Nothobranchius furzeri: one gene and its partners. The protein of the gene in region 3 interacts with the protein of the main gene of each other region in a biochemical or structural test. Links are inferred from orthologs where the notes say so. Each region holds a gene or a part of one and is shown on either strand. Other genes may lie near its edges.

The links.
Region 1: the proteins of pou2f1b (region 3) and POU domain class 2-associating factor 1 are reported together in a solved structure, tested with the Homo sapiens proteins (2 studies listed by BioGRID, with this or other methods). The link is inferred for Nothobranchius furzeri from reciprocal best matches to the Homo sapiens genes POU2F1 and POU2AF1.
Region 2: the proteins of pou2f1b (region 3) and rxraa form a complex in vitro, tested with the Homo sapiens proteins (2 studies listed by BioGRID). The link is inferred for Nothobranchius furzeri from reciprocal best matches to the Homo sapiens genes POU2F1 and RXRA.

The regions. Positions count from the first base shown.
Region 1 is NC_091753.1:21,177,926-21,182,748, reverse strand, and holds the start of POU domain class 2-associating factor 1, read right to left. Parts: upstream 3,161-4,823; 5' UTR 1-3,160. UniProt on the Homo sapiens protein: Transcriptional coactivator that specifically associates with either POU2F1/OCT1 or POU2F2/OCT2. It boosts the POU2F1/OCT1 mediated promoter activity and to a lesser extent, that of POU2F2/OCT2. It recognizes the POU domains of POU2F1/OCT1 and POU2F2/OCT2.
Region 2 is NC_091746.1:41,868,392-41,873,002, forward strand, and holds the start of rxraa (retinoic acid receptor RXR-alpha-A), read right to left. Parts: upstream 2,889-4,611; 5' UTR 2,624-2,888; coding exon 2,596-2,623; intron 1-2,595. UniProt on the Homo sapiens protein: Receptor for retinoic acid that acts as a transcription factor.
Region 3 is NC_091754.1:25,720,151-25,724,941, reverse strand, and holds the start of pou2f1b (POU domain, class 2, transcription factor 1b), read right to left. Parts: upstream 2,876-4,791; 5' UTR 2,734-2,875; coding exon 2,688-2,733; intron 1-2,687. Other genes in the region: dynein intermediate chain 2, ciliary, read right to left, coding at 4,657-4,725. UniProt on the Homo sapiens protein: Transcription factor that binds to the octamer motif (5'-ATTTGCAT-3') and activates the promoters of the genes for some small nuclear RNAs (snRNA) and of genes such as those for histone H2B and immunoglobulins.

The DNA of each region.
Region 1 (4,823 bases), on a different chromosome or scaffold from region 3:
GTGTATGGCCTGGATAGAGTACAAGAAAGCTTATGACTCAATGTAGAACTCATGGATGATTCAAAGCTTGGAGATGTACAACATCAAGAGGAGTCTGGGACTGCAAACTCAATGGGGCTTGGGAAAACCACCCTTTAGGCCAATTGCCAGCCAATCACAGAAGGTTGCATCAAATTAAAGTCATCCATCCTAACTGCTTGCCTCAGACTTTCTGCCTCTCTGTCCTGTTTGCTCCGGTGAAAAGACACCCAAAACCACACCCCCCTTCACGTGGTCACACACGCACACAAGTTCGATGTGTGTGTATGTGTGTGCGTGTTCGTTTGGTTTTTCTGCAGTGTCTGTTTAAGAACACATTTGACTATTGCGGAATTTTATTTTGAAATGCTTTATTTTGTTAACTTTACCGGCCTGCCTCTTATGTCTACGTTTGACTTCCTGCCAGAATTCACGTGATTCACCCGCGGCTCGCGTAAAAAATAGAGCCAACGCTGAAATGACCGCTGCACGGCGCGGGCTGGAGCGCCGGCGCGAGGCGATTCGTGGCGCTTCGGCGGCCCATGTGGTCTATAGAATAGCTTAACAAGGGCGCCGAATGAAGGCGGTCCCATTTTCGCGGTGCTTCCGCGGCCAGTGTGTCCCCGGCGTGATGCCCCCCTGGTTCAAGTACCTACAAACCCAGCCTTGATTTGAACATTAACTCACATATCGGACTTGGACCCTGCCAAACCAACCACATACCTGTCATTATCAGCAGAGAGCGACCAATCAATCGTAAATCTAGCAAACCCAACTTCAATAACCTTAAACAGCAACCAAACACCTCAAGTTCAATAAATCACACAGCCACTCTACCTCCAGCATCTGTCAATATGACTCTTTTTAATGTTCGCTGTCTGTAATGTACTGCAGCCGCTTTTAGCATTCTTCAGATTTTATGTGTCACTGTTTACAGGCCTCCTAAATAGAGTGCACCTTTTATTCAAGAGTTTTTATCAGTTTTACCCAACTCCTTTGATGGGATTATTTTAGCTGGAGATTTTAATCTGCACATGTATAACCTTTTAGACCCTTTAGCCACAGATTTTTTTAAACTTCTTGAATTACCATATTTTCCAGACTATAAGCCGCTACTTTTTCCCACGCTTTGAACCATGCAGCTTATAATGAGGTGCAGCTTTAGTCAACCAGAAAGGATGGATGCTGGAAAGTCTAATGAAGGAATGGTTAAAGGAGTGCTACGGAAATCGCACAGGAGGGTTTTTTTCACAGTAAAACAGCAATGCTTGTTTTCCCAGCTTCACCCTGGGATGATGAAAGTAACACAGACATCGACACAGAAAAGGTATGTGACAAAGCTCTTGTGAGGCTGTTCAACTCCGACACTGAAGAAGATAACTTCAGTGGTTTCAGTGCGCAGGAGGACGATGAATAAACTAATCAATAACTTTTCTGTTTTGTTTGATGCTGATCAGTTCAGTTACATTCAGTTAAACTACGTTTTCAATTCAATAGATATCTGCAGCTTTTAGCTTGGTGCGGCTTATATTGAGGTGCGCTCTATAGTCCGGAAATTACGGTATATGGATTTTACCCAACATGTCACGCAGCCAACTCACGACAGAGGACACACCCTGGACCTGGTCATCACGTATGTGTCCACTGGTGTGTCCTCTGTTGTCGACTTGGCAGTATCCAATCACTATTGCGTATTTTTTAACATCACCAGCATTATCCAGTGGGGGCCCTCTGTGAGAACTGTAAAGAAGCGTCATCTAAGCCCTGACATGGCTGCTGGTTTTCTTGAAGCTTTTAACAATATCCCTCCAACTAACGTCTCCGCCCCTGGTGATGCCATTATCAATGATTTTAACAGAAGACTTGAGTCAGCTCTTAACTTGCTTGCTCCACTCAAAACCAAAAACTTACAGTCAAATCATACATCACCTTGGAGAAATGAAACCCAAAAAAACTAAAGAGAAACTGCAGAGTGGCGGAGAGGAGATGAAGGAAAAACAAATTAACAATAAACCATCAGATATATTCAGAACTACTTAAATCATACAAAAATGCCGTAAGAAATTCAAGAAACGCATACTTTGCCAAAATTCTCTCAGACAATAAAAGTAACCCTAAAATTATTTTCTCCAAAATTAATAATATTCTCAACTCCAACTTAAATTCAACTCATAAAACCCCCTAAAACCCCCTCTGTGAGGAGTTTGCAGCCCACTTTAGAGGGAAGGTAGACACCATCAGATGCAACATTTTACCCTCCCAACGTAACGTGGTTTTAGACACATCTGAGAGTGTGTGTCTACCTGAGGAAACACTGGACAGTTTTGTTCTGGTTGAAGCTGAGAGTCTTGATAAAGTTTTCTCCTCAGTGAGGCCCACCACATGTGTCGTGGACCCACTGTTTTTTTTTAAACAATTTTATGATTCTTTTAGAGATGAGGTTTTAACTATGATGAATTGCTCCCTTCAGACGGGGGGTCTTTCCTGCCGCTTTTAAATGGGCGGTGGTGAGGCCCCTGCTGAAGAAAAGCAATTTAGATTTTAATGACTGAAACAATTATCGACCGGTATCCAACTTACCATTTTTAAGGAAAATTTTAGAAAAGCTTGTTTTAATTCGACTTAATGATTTTATCAACACCCATAATGTCTTTGAAAATTTTCAGTCTGGTTTTAGGGTGAACCACAGCACCGAGACGGCCCTTCTGAAGATTTTAAATGATTTTAGTGTAAATTATGATGCCCGGAGGGTGACTGTGTTGGTTCTACTGGATCTAAGTGCTGCCTTTGATACAGTAGACCACACTATTCTTTTAACTCGTTTGAAATGGATCGGCCTCTCGTGCTGTTCACCAATGGTTCACTTTCTACCTCACAGACAGGACTTTTATGGTGAGTCTGGACACCTGTTCCTCTAGGGCTCATGGGATTACATGTGGTGTGCCCCAGGGTTCAATTTTAGGCCCAGTGCTTTTTAACCTTTATATGCTCCCTCTTGGCAGTGTCATCAGGAGACAAGGGGTGAATTTCCACAGTTACGCTGATGATACACAGCTGTGCATCTCTGTGTCCCCTGATGACACACAGTCAATGGATGCACTGTTTAACTGCATTTTAGACATCAAATCCTGGATGGCAGAAAACTTTCTCCAGCTCAGCCAGGACAAAACTGAAGCTTTAGTTATCGGTCCTGAGGCCCAGAGAGAGAAGCTTTTACCAAAATTCCAATCACTGTCTTTTAATCCATCTTCACAAGTGAAGAACCTGAGTGTCACGTTTTACTCTTAGCCTAATTTTATCCATCATATTAAAATATCACCAAAATAGGTTTTTATCATCTAAAGAACATCGCCAGAGTCCGCCCCATTCTCTTTCGAGCCAATACGGAGATGCGGATGCATGTTTTTATCACCAGTAGCATAGACTACTGCAATGCCCTGCTTTCTGGTCTTCCTAAAAAGAGGATTTCAGGTCTACAACTATTACAAAACTCAGTAGTGCCTGTCCTGATGAAGACCAGGTGGCGGGAGCACATCACTCCAGTTTTAGAACGACTGCATTGACTCCCCGTATGTTTAAGTATCGATTTTAAAATACTTTTAACGGTTTTTAAGTGTCTTAATGGTCTTGGGCCTTCTCATCTTTCAGAACTGCTTTTACCGTATAAACCCACGCTGTCTCTGCGCTCCTCTGGCAGCCGTGTCCTTGTCATCCCTAAAGTCAGGACTCATATTCACGGCGAGGCGTCCTTCCAGTACTACGGTCCTCGCTTCTGGAACAAGCTGCCAGGGGACCTCAGGGCCGCAGAGAACGTTCATGTTTTTAGAAACAGGCTCAAAACCCTTCTTTTTAGCTTAGCTTTTAACTGACTACAATCACTTTTTGAATAAATTAGTAAATTAATTAGGTTATCTAGTTGTAACGTCACGAAATGAACCGATTTTAAAGATCCCACAGGTCATATGCAGCCAGAGCAAATAACCCTGGCTACTACATGTTCTGCTGTATCTTCCCTTGTCAGGAGTCTGTGAGTCTGCACAACTCAGCATTTTAATCAGATGACTTCATCACAGACAGGACTTTTAGGGTGGGTCTGGACACCTGTTCAAATACGACCTTTCTGTGCCAAAGGTCGTATTTGCCCGGCTGGGTCAAAGCTGGGCCATGCAGCACCTTCACCCACAGATTAAGACCTAAGCCGCCAGCAAGTCTGAAGGACTCCACAACATCCAACACCTGCATCTCCAGAAGAAGGACTTCACACACAGCCTAGTCATAATAAAACGGAGTCTTAAGCTTTCTTTGTGTATTAATGTTAAATAATCATTTGATCACTTTGCTCATTATAAATGTATTTTAATCAAATGAATGATTATTATGCTTTGGGTAATCATAATGAACTATAATGAATCAGTATACTTAATTAAATAATGTTTTTGAAGATGTTTAGCAATGACCTTCACACCTGCTCATACAGGTCCGTATCCACAGTAACTTCAAAACACATTTGCTCTGACGCACAAGTTTGCTTTGGGAAGAGAAGAGGTTTCGGTAAGGAGTCAGTAAGTTTGGATGAGAGCAGGAGTGCGGAACGAACGCCACGGGGAAAGGAGCCCGGCAGGCTCCTTTTCTCCCACCACGCTATTTCTGTCAAGCCAGACAGAATAGCTGAATGCAACCCGCTAACGCAGACTCGTCCCAGAGTCTTTTGATTTCTGAGTTCATTTAAACATGAGAAAGCGCATCTGCGGAAACGCTTCAGCAACGTGTACCGAGGTCAACTCTGGACTGGACCGTCGCACACC
Region 2 (4,611 bases), on a different chromosome or scaffold from region 3:
TAGGGCGAAGGACCTGGAAACTGCTCACTGTAACTTTAACAACCTTTGTTAGTCATTTTCTGAGAACTTTAGGCAAGTTTTATGGGATTCCAGATCTTAACATACTCAAAATGTGACACAAAAAGGTGTCACACCAGAATATCACCCTCATGTGACTGATGGTGAATATTGTGAACAGGGAATTTCAAAAATGTCCAAGAACAGTTGCGGAAGTTCAAAAAGTCCTTGTGTGAGTTGCAGGGCACTGGTGTTAATTAATGCAGCGTTATTCCTCATTTAAAAAGTCAGAGTAAGCGGTGGACCCCGTCTGGAACACTTCTCAGTTTAGTGTAGTAAGACAATTTGTGACTTCATTACAAAACAGTTGTGCAACTGTCACAGGTGAGTCATGCTCCCCATGACTCAGATGAAACTTATTAGAAAAGTGTCGCCATTTTTGCAGAATTCCAACATATTTGTTCACAGTTTCTATTATTTTTGTGTCCAAAACTGGTTCTTTATAGTCTAAACAACGTTAAAAATCCAGGGGTGATCATAGTTTTGAGAATGAGACAGTCATTGTGCAGTTTACTGTGATTTACATGCTTTTAAATAAAAAGATAGATTTGACAAGACTATAAATGTTATTAAACAAATGACTATTGTAAGAAGAGAAAGTAGGCTTGGTGTTGATACATTTGGTTAAAGCAATGGAACAAATGAGAAATCAATATTAACAGACTAAATGTATTTTCTCTTGTGATTTTTTTTGGCATCTCTCACTGTTGATTTCACTGACACACTGTCATGATCATCCCTCTAATGCTGGGATGGAAGGACACACTCTCCTTCCAATGTCATCCATTTGGTCTTTATTGCTTGATGTCAGTGTGTGTGTGTTTGTGTGTGTGTGTGTGCGTGCGTGCGTGCGTGCGTGCGTGTGTGTGTGTGTGTGTGTGTGTGTGCACGTGCAGGGAGGGGGCAATAGTTGATGGTGGGACCACATCAGCACAAAGTACACATGCAGTACAGAGCATCAGCTGCCAAAAGCCAGGTGTCGTCATCACGGCCAACAACCAATCTATAACTGTAAAATGTGCTCGCTGTCATCTCAAAAAGATGCATGTCAGGATTTCTAATGGAGTACGACATTAGATAATTACTCTGAGTAAGCGGATAATCAATAAATCCAAGGACTTTAAGGGTGTCCTTGAAGAACCAAAGGAACATTCTGCTTTTGCTGGTGTGATTTCAAACATAAATGATCACTTAAAGACTCAAAGAGAATACCACTAAAGATCTGTCACATGTGGAAAAGGGGTTCAGATTTACACCGACCATTAAAGACTGTTAGATTAAAGCTTTCCAGTCTGTTTATGCTGTCATGGGCAGTTCTAGTGCACGTTCAGGCAGCATGAAACTCTAATCATTCTCATTACAGATACACAATACAATGCACCTGCAATAACAGCCTGCCAGTGTGTGCAGCATTGGCGGTTTAGCGTATTTCTGGGAAGCCACATAAAGGGTGTTGTGGCGGGAGTGTCAGTGAGCAGAGCCTGTAACTGAAGAAAGCTGCCCAGTGCCTCAGGAGGTCCCTGAGAATCTCCCTGATGCAGCTGGTGATGTGTGTCAAGGTGTAACATGATGCTCTTATGAAGAAAGGCAGCAGACACAATACTGGGGGAGGGTATGGGGGGACAAGGGTCTCCTGTGTTCACTTTAGCAAACTTACAGTAGCAGTCAGTGTTAATGATTTACAGCATGGTGAGTGTGCCTGTGTTTAAGCTGGGGAGTCAATGGGCCGTCAATGGGCCAATTAGTGCAAATTAGATCTGACCTCAGATTAAACACCTGGATCTTCCTGACTTTGATGTGCCGGAAGCTTCAAATGAACATAAACTGACATTTGTGCAAAATAAGCTTTAGCTGAACATAAAATGTGCCATTTCTTGCACAATGATCCATGCAACGCTTTGCTCAACAACGTCATCCATAAAACATGGTCCAGATGTAAACTTTGAGCTAAGTGCAGAGGTCACATGTGAGGTTACCGGCACCTATCAATGGTTACACCGACGTTATTAAAGTGGTCTCTTATATTATATATTAGGAACACGTCTTATGAGAAAGCTAAGTCCTTCCAGATTTAGGTCAAAATAGAGTATTAAGTTCATTTTCTCAGAAATGGTAAGTTCAAAAGAAGTTTAGGTGCTGGTTAAAAATGGAATGTGTTCATTTTTTATGATCTAAAGCGACCAAACAAACAAAAATAGGCCCACATTTAAAGTAGTTTGTTTTGTAACGTTTAGAAGTTGAAACGAACGCGAGTCTGAGCTCTTATCAGAGTTGTCATCAGCTCACTCAGTTGCTTCAGGAATTAAACCTAACTTTGACTTATCTGGGTCTTTTCTTTCTCAGATAAACGATAAAACACAAAGTTTTATCAGTTAGCAACATTTAAAGAGATGTATAAAAGCGCGTGAGCAGCTCCAAACATGTGGGTGAGCCGCACGCGCTGTCAAAACAGAAACAAAAGAATTACGCGGCGCGAGAGCAACTAAATCCGTTTACAAACACCTCAGCGAGGCTTTGTCATAAAACAAACAAACTTACCCAATGACAGGAACGGTTTGGTTTCCATGTCGGAGTCGTCGGTTAGCTCATGCCAGCTGAGGCGAGCGTGTTCGGGAGTTTTCTCCCACACAAGCGGCAGCTCGAGCTCCGCGAGCCGGACCGGGACGCTGCTGCTGCTGCTTCTCCTTTCTTCTTCCACTGCTGCTGTGAGCGGCAGAAGAAGTGGCAGGTCGATGTGTGACCGTATCAGAAGATAACCTAACGTTTCTGCCTCTGTTTGCGCACTCAGCTGCTCGCAGCTCAGTGACGCGCTCCGGTTGTACAACAACTCCAACTACTGGAACGGCTCAGCAAAAGAGGGACCTGCGCAGGCAGGGGGTACTCCCACCGACGAGCTCCGGGCTGCAGCGACGCGGCGCAAACAATAAAAAAAAAAAAAAAAAAAAAAAAAAAAAAACGATGAGACCTTGGGTACGCAACATGTGGAATCCTCGAGAAGGACTAGAAGAAACGCGCAGTTTTTCGCCAGTTGGAGGTTTTCTGCACCACACCAGCTGAGCGGCAGCTACCTATTCATTTCTTATCTCCTGTTATTCTGACCTGGTCACATGTGCTGAACCAGGAGTGTTGGCTCAGCACAGATTTTTCTACTCCCTTTCCTTTAAATTTGAGTCTAATTCACAGAAAAAAGTCAGAAACTTACGTTTATTTTTGTCTTTTACTGATAAAAGTGCCTCAATAACAGAGCATTGCAATTAAAACATGATTTAAAAAACCAACAGTAACAGATTACTAAAACAAGACATTTTAATCAGAAAGTCTAAATGACTCCAGACTGCTGAAACAGTGTTGTTTATTCCATAATTGAGGTGCAACAGACTGGAAAGAGTGATCCCATCCAGTTTTATATCTGGACTTTGGAATTACTGGTGGATCTCTGGATCAACAATCATGTGTTCAGTCTTGAGTTTAAATAAATATTGGAGGCACATTCATAGCAAATATCTTTGTACGAAAAATGAAAAAGGGGTTTAGGAATGTTACCGTTAGGAATGGGCTGGTAAACAGTTTAATGAAAAACCAGTCCCTCTGACCACAGCAACAGGTGGGGAGGGTGAACTGCCTTAGATCAGGTTAGGAGTTTGCCCTGTAATTAATAGGGTGCTGGTTCAAACCCAGGCTCTGTCAGTGCCAGTTGTGTTCTTGGGCAAAGACACTTCCCCTTCCCTGCTCCAGGGCAGCTGTTGCTTCAATGTAGCTCATCACTATCGCTGTGTGAGTGAATGAATGATTCCATGTAGTGTAAAGCGCTTTGGAGTCCTCTGACTCAGAAAGATGCAGGCCATTCATCAACCCCTGGTTACTACCAGGCACACAGTCCCAGAAATGCATTTGCAGGAGCTGTGTGACACGACAGGAAGGGACGAGCCGCCGTGGTCGTGGGGAACACATTTCCATTATGATCCACGCTGCTTAGATGTTAAATGTTGTATGGTTGATGTGGAAACTGATTACTTTAGAGCTACAAGCGGCACAGGCAAATACCCTCCAAAAGAAATCACCAGAAAAGGAATCTAAAGAACAGTAAAACAACTTTTTAGAAACATTATGTTTTATTTGTAGATGGAGTTTCTGTCACTTTCATGACCCCAATGACTCTGTGACCAGTTTGAAAGTTGTAAACATTTTCAAAATGTTTTGAGACATTTTGGAAACTCCTCTTCAAAGGCCATTCTCAGTCTGTTGCAGTTGTTGCAGCCCCATTAAGATACTGACTTAAACAGTTCTAAACACAACCGTTTACACAAGTCACAACTCTGTGTGCACCTGGTCTCCTCTAACATGGCAGGTTTTACATTTTCCATGTCCGGTCTCACTCAGGGCCGCTTCCTCTGGCTCTCTTGTTACGAGCCTCCTTTTATTAAGGACTCAAAGGTGTTTGCCACGCTTTTAATAAAGTGTGATTCATAATAAATGCAAGCCATGACACACTGGAGATCAAAGACGAGTGTGTAAGAAAAGAGTAAATTGAAGTTTGAATGGGCACCGATCCAA
Region 3 (4,791 bases):
TCCAGCGGAAAGGAGTCCAACTCCACAGAGCCACCGCAACCACACTACACTACACCGTCTCACCTTACTAACACGATATGGAGCACTAAACCCGAACTACTTTCCTAATTACACTAACAGCCAAACACTAACTAAACTACAATATCCAACAGCCAAACTAACACTAAATAAGTATGTATAACACTAAAAGCTATGCTAAAGACTAGGATATGCTAATGCTATATGCTAATGCTGAACTACAGCTAACCTCCTACACTCGCTTGCAAATCAAACTCCCAACTCGCCACAAAGCGTGGCCGAGACTCTCTATGCTTTATAACTTTGACACAGAGCTGCTACGTAGTACTCTACTGGTTTACGTAGTATCTTACTCTTTAGCCGTTGGCTAAAGTGTATTCAAAATGACTCAAACTCTATGTTTTAAGCTGAAGGTGGCGCTATACTGTGGTATTTAGGCAGAATTTTTAATTTTTAAAGAAAATGCACCAAAATGCTGAAATAATGAATACACACATTTAAAACACTACTACACACATTTATACAGTTCATCAGCAAAAAAAAGTTAATTTAGACATTACTTCCTCTTTAAGTCCTGAGGAAACAACAAAACTGATTATGTAAAAATTTCTTCATCCAAAGCAAAAGGGGAAAAAATAAGCTGCAGCTTGTCTGAGTGAAGCCTGCATGCAGGTCCTCTCAGTACTTTGAGATGGCATGTCCTGAATTTATTACAGCAAGTGTTGCATTATTCATAACAACTGTGTTTACATTAATGAATATTCATGATGAAACTACAAGGCTAGAATGAGGGTGGAACTGTAAAACTGATTAAATGAGAAAAGTAGCTTCAGTTTGAGGAAGACAGAATTATTTCACATTCTTGAGAAGCTCAGTGTAATAAATCAGCCCCCCCCCCCACACACAAATCTGCAAATATTCTAACATCTGAAAGATGCTAACAAAAAGACTTAATTTTTGAAAAATTGGACACTTCCCTCATGAAATAATATAAATTGTACATGCATTTGTATGTTTTTCTTAAAATTGTCAAAGTTTATCTTTGCCTTCTGTATAAAAACAAATTTAAGCAGGTTTTGGGAATGAACATGTTTTAGGAAAAAACAAAAGCAGCTTTCAGATGTGATCCTGAGTAGTCAGTAAAACACCAAATACTTTTACAAAACAACAATGACAATTGTTAATCAGCTACATAAACTGTTTGTGTTTTCATGACACATGCACCTAAATCTGGAACAATAAAAACTCCTTTAATCATATTTTAATCTTGTTTAAAATTTGTTTGACTCTCATTTATTAGTATATTTAATAACATACCACCTAATATTTTGTTAGCTGCAACAAACCAAGCCTTTTTTAAAGGGATGTCCAGTCCATATGAATTTCCTCACTGTGGGATTAATAAAGTCTATTCGAATCTATGCATAGAATAATCCACTAATGTTACCACATCTGACTGGTTTGTTTAGAGTAAGCCAGAAACGTTAACTACATGTAGTAAAAATGTTCTGTTCGTGTTGGGACTTGTCTGTTCATGAAACTAGTTAAGAATAAGAACAGAAAAAAAAACCTTCTGCTTGTTATTACTGTTGCCTTCCGGAAGTGGGCCTCACCACCCCACCCTTTGCCTGAGGGGGATACACAGGTACAGGCTTTGAACTCAACGAACTTCGACCACAAAAAGGGGAATAACGTACACACGGTGTTTGTCAGGAACAGATTAATTATATGTTGAAATTCGCCAGGCAAAATAAATCGAAGCCAGAAAGCTATCACTTAATAAAAGGCTCGATCCAACTTCTGTTCTAAGAGCGGCGAGAAAGACTATTACAATCGTAAGCAGCACAAACTGTAGATTAAGTGAATCATGTAAAATGAACCGAAAGTATCGGATTCAGTTGAAGCTAACTGAACGTCTTTCATTAGATCAAACAAACGCTACTCGTGTGTTATAATAGTGTGGTATTTATGATGGTGGAATATGCTGAACTCCGCACTCTGGTTGAGGGAGGCCTGCATGAATAACAACAGGCTGCTGTGGCTCTCCTGCGCCGAGCACAAAAGACCGAAGGCAAAATGCTCTCCCGTAAAAAAAAATCACGTCGAGCTGAGCAACACCAACCTGACACGGTGTTTGACAAAAGCCGTGCTTGTTGTTTAGAATATTATCAGTAGAAAAAGAAGAACAAACGAGTGGCGGCCACTACCCGGCCGGTGAAATATGAATATGCAAAGCTCTGAGAAAAAAGCCCCAGTGTGCATCAACACAAAGCCAAGCGTTAGCACCCGAGCTAACCAAGCTAGCATGCTCATTTCAATCAAACTGCCTTCAGAAAATAATATATAAGCGTTCCGCATGAACAAGTGTCACGACGGCGATTACTAATAAAATATGCTAAGTTGTATTTGTCGGCAGATGTATGAATATGTAGCGGCGTACATCCGTCTAATCACACAAAGGGGGAGGCATGTTTCCATGTATTTTACCGTCGCACTGCAACAGCTCGTTTCCTCCCTCTTGTCAAACTACATTTGTGTGTAAACTCAAACATCGCCCCTTATCCTCCTCATTTCCAGCTCCCTCCGCGTTTCATCACTATTGTTATTATAAATTGTATGTAACGCAGTTTGAATATGAGTATGAATATGTAAAATGCTGTAATCATTACCTGGTGCTGAACTCTCATCTTGACTCGCTGCTCCTCCGTCCGCCATTTTGAATATTTAACCCGAAATCCAGCCCCGAGCGCGCGCACACAAATACATACACATTCACACAGTCGCAAACACACGCACGAGCACTCACACACTACACACAAAACAACATGGGCAGTGAAAGAGAGGTGTTATCTTATTTACATACTTAAATAATCATCTAGTTTGTTTTCCCTCGGGTAGAAAAGCGCTCGAGGGACTTAGCTGAGAGAATATTAAAAACTTTAAACAACAGTTGAATGAAACACTAATAACCTGAAAACCTTAAACTTTCAGTCTTTTTAAAGACATTTTTATTTAGAATAATTAATTACTTTTAATGATCTATTTCATGTTATTTTCTTACACTGTTTAGTAAAAAAATTAGTTTTTTAACTTTTAATTATGGTTATATTACTATGGACATTAAGTTTTAGCAGAATTAATAGGAAATTTTCCTATTTGTTTTTTTAAGAAACTTTACATTTAAATATTAGAAATTTTGCTTTCTCTGTCTTCTTCCACATAAAACAATTCAAGGAGAAAATTCTTAAGACATGACCATTTGTTGACGATAGAAAACTACTTCACTTTTCCAATATGTAAGAGTAGATCTCCCTATGATCTCACCACTTCCTCCAAACTGACCACTGAGCTGAGCTGCACATCTTTAGTGAACCCATTAGACTACATCACCTGGTTTGATGCAGACTGATCAAGTGTTTGCATCTTATTCTGCATATTTCCTCCATTTTGAAACAAATCCCCTCCCAAAAGCATGCTGCCACTTGTTTCAAATGACAGAGACGCTCTTATATAATTTTCTGATGCTTTACAATAATCTGACCAACATTTGATTTGCTCACATGCCATCACACATTAATTATTGCAAAGTAATGTAACACAATATCGCTTTACCTTTGATCAAGCTCCTCATTTTCTGCATACCACCTGGGTTTGATCATTATTTTATTTTGCAACAACGCGAGTCAAATCTCAATCACTCAAATTTGAGCCTTGCCTTTTTTTATAGTAAGGCTTTGTGCTGGATTTCAGTTTATCCCCAAGGTCCCAGAGGATATATGGATACTCCAACAAGTTCTGGATCTATTCCTGGATAGTGTATACAGCCCAAACCACGTCTGCTGCCTTCTCTCAGTGAGGAGCAGGAGCTCTTCTCCAGCATTACGTGGATGATGGAACCCTTCGCCTGATCTCTAAGGCTGAGCCTCAAGTTTGTTTTTTACTGATGAGATTTTTAGCAGTGACTACAAATGTGTTGGACAAAAGCTCCTTTTACATCAATACAATGCTGCCACCTGCAGGTGTCATTTAAATAACTAATGAAGTTTGAAGTGAAAAACAGTTACAATTGTATTGAATTACTGTTAAAACCTTTAGTACTTTATTTATGATATTTTCTGTAACTGCAATGTATCTTTTTGACAACCATTTAGTAAAAAGATCTTTTGCTGAAGTTTCAGTCTGAACTGTGTTTATTTGATTGCATTGTTTCCAATTAAATATTACTGGTTTTAATTCTAATCATTTCTAAACTGAAAACATTTCTGTGAGATATAGATAAAAAAAACTAACAAATGTTGAGAAATTCACATTTTCTCATTCTAATTCTCACTTAAATTTAGTATCTGACGAATTTGTCTTTAACTTACTTACATTTTCCCCAGCAAAACACATTTGAAAAATCCTGTGGCACAACAAAGTTTGGGCAGAAATAAAATTAAAACTAACTAACAAACTCACTAAAGGTCAGTCTAAAATCCTGTTATCTTCCTAGAGATCCAGAACACTTGAAAAGCAAAGTGAAATGATCTAAACTGGAACCAAGCTGAACAGCAGCCGGTTTAAAAACAAACACAACAGACAGAAAGACACTTTGACTCAGAGAGGACAAAGTGGACACACACAGTCCAGAGAGTCTGGTTAAGGTAGGTCAGGGTTGTAGGTTAGACACGTCTCCATCTTGTCTACCTCTGGTTGTGGACCCCGAGCCTGCGCCGGTCCAACGGAGACATGCAAACACAAACATGACTTGACTTTAGCCATACGCTTAAGCAG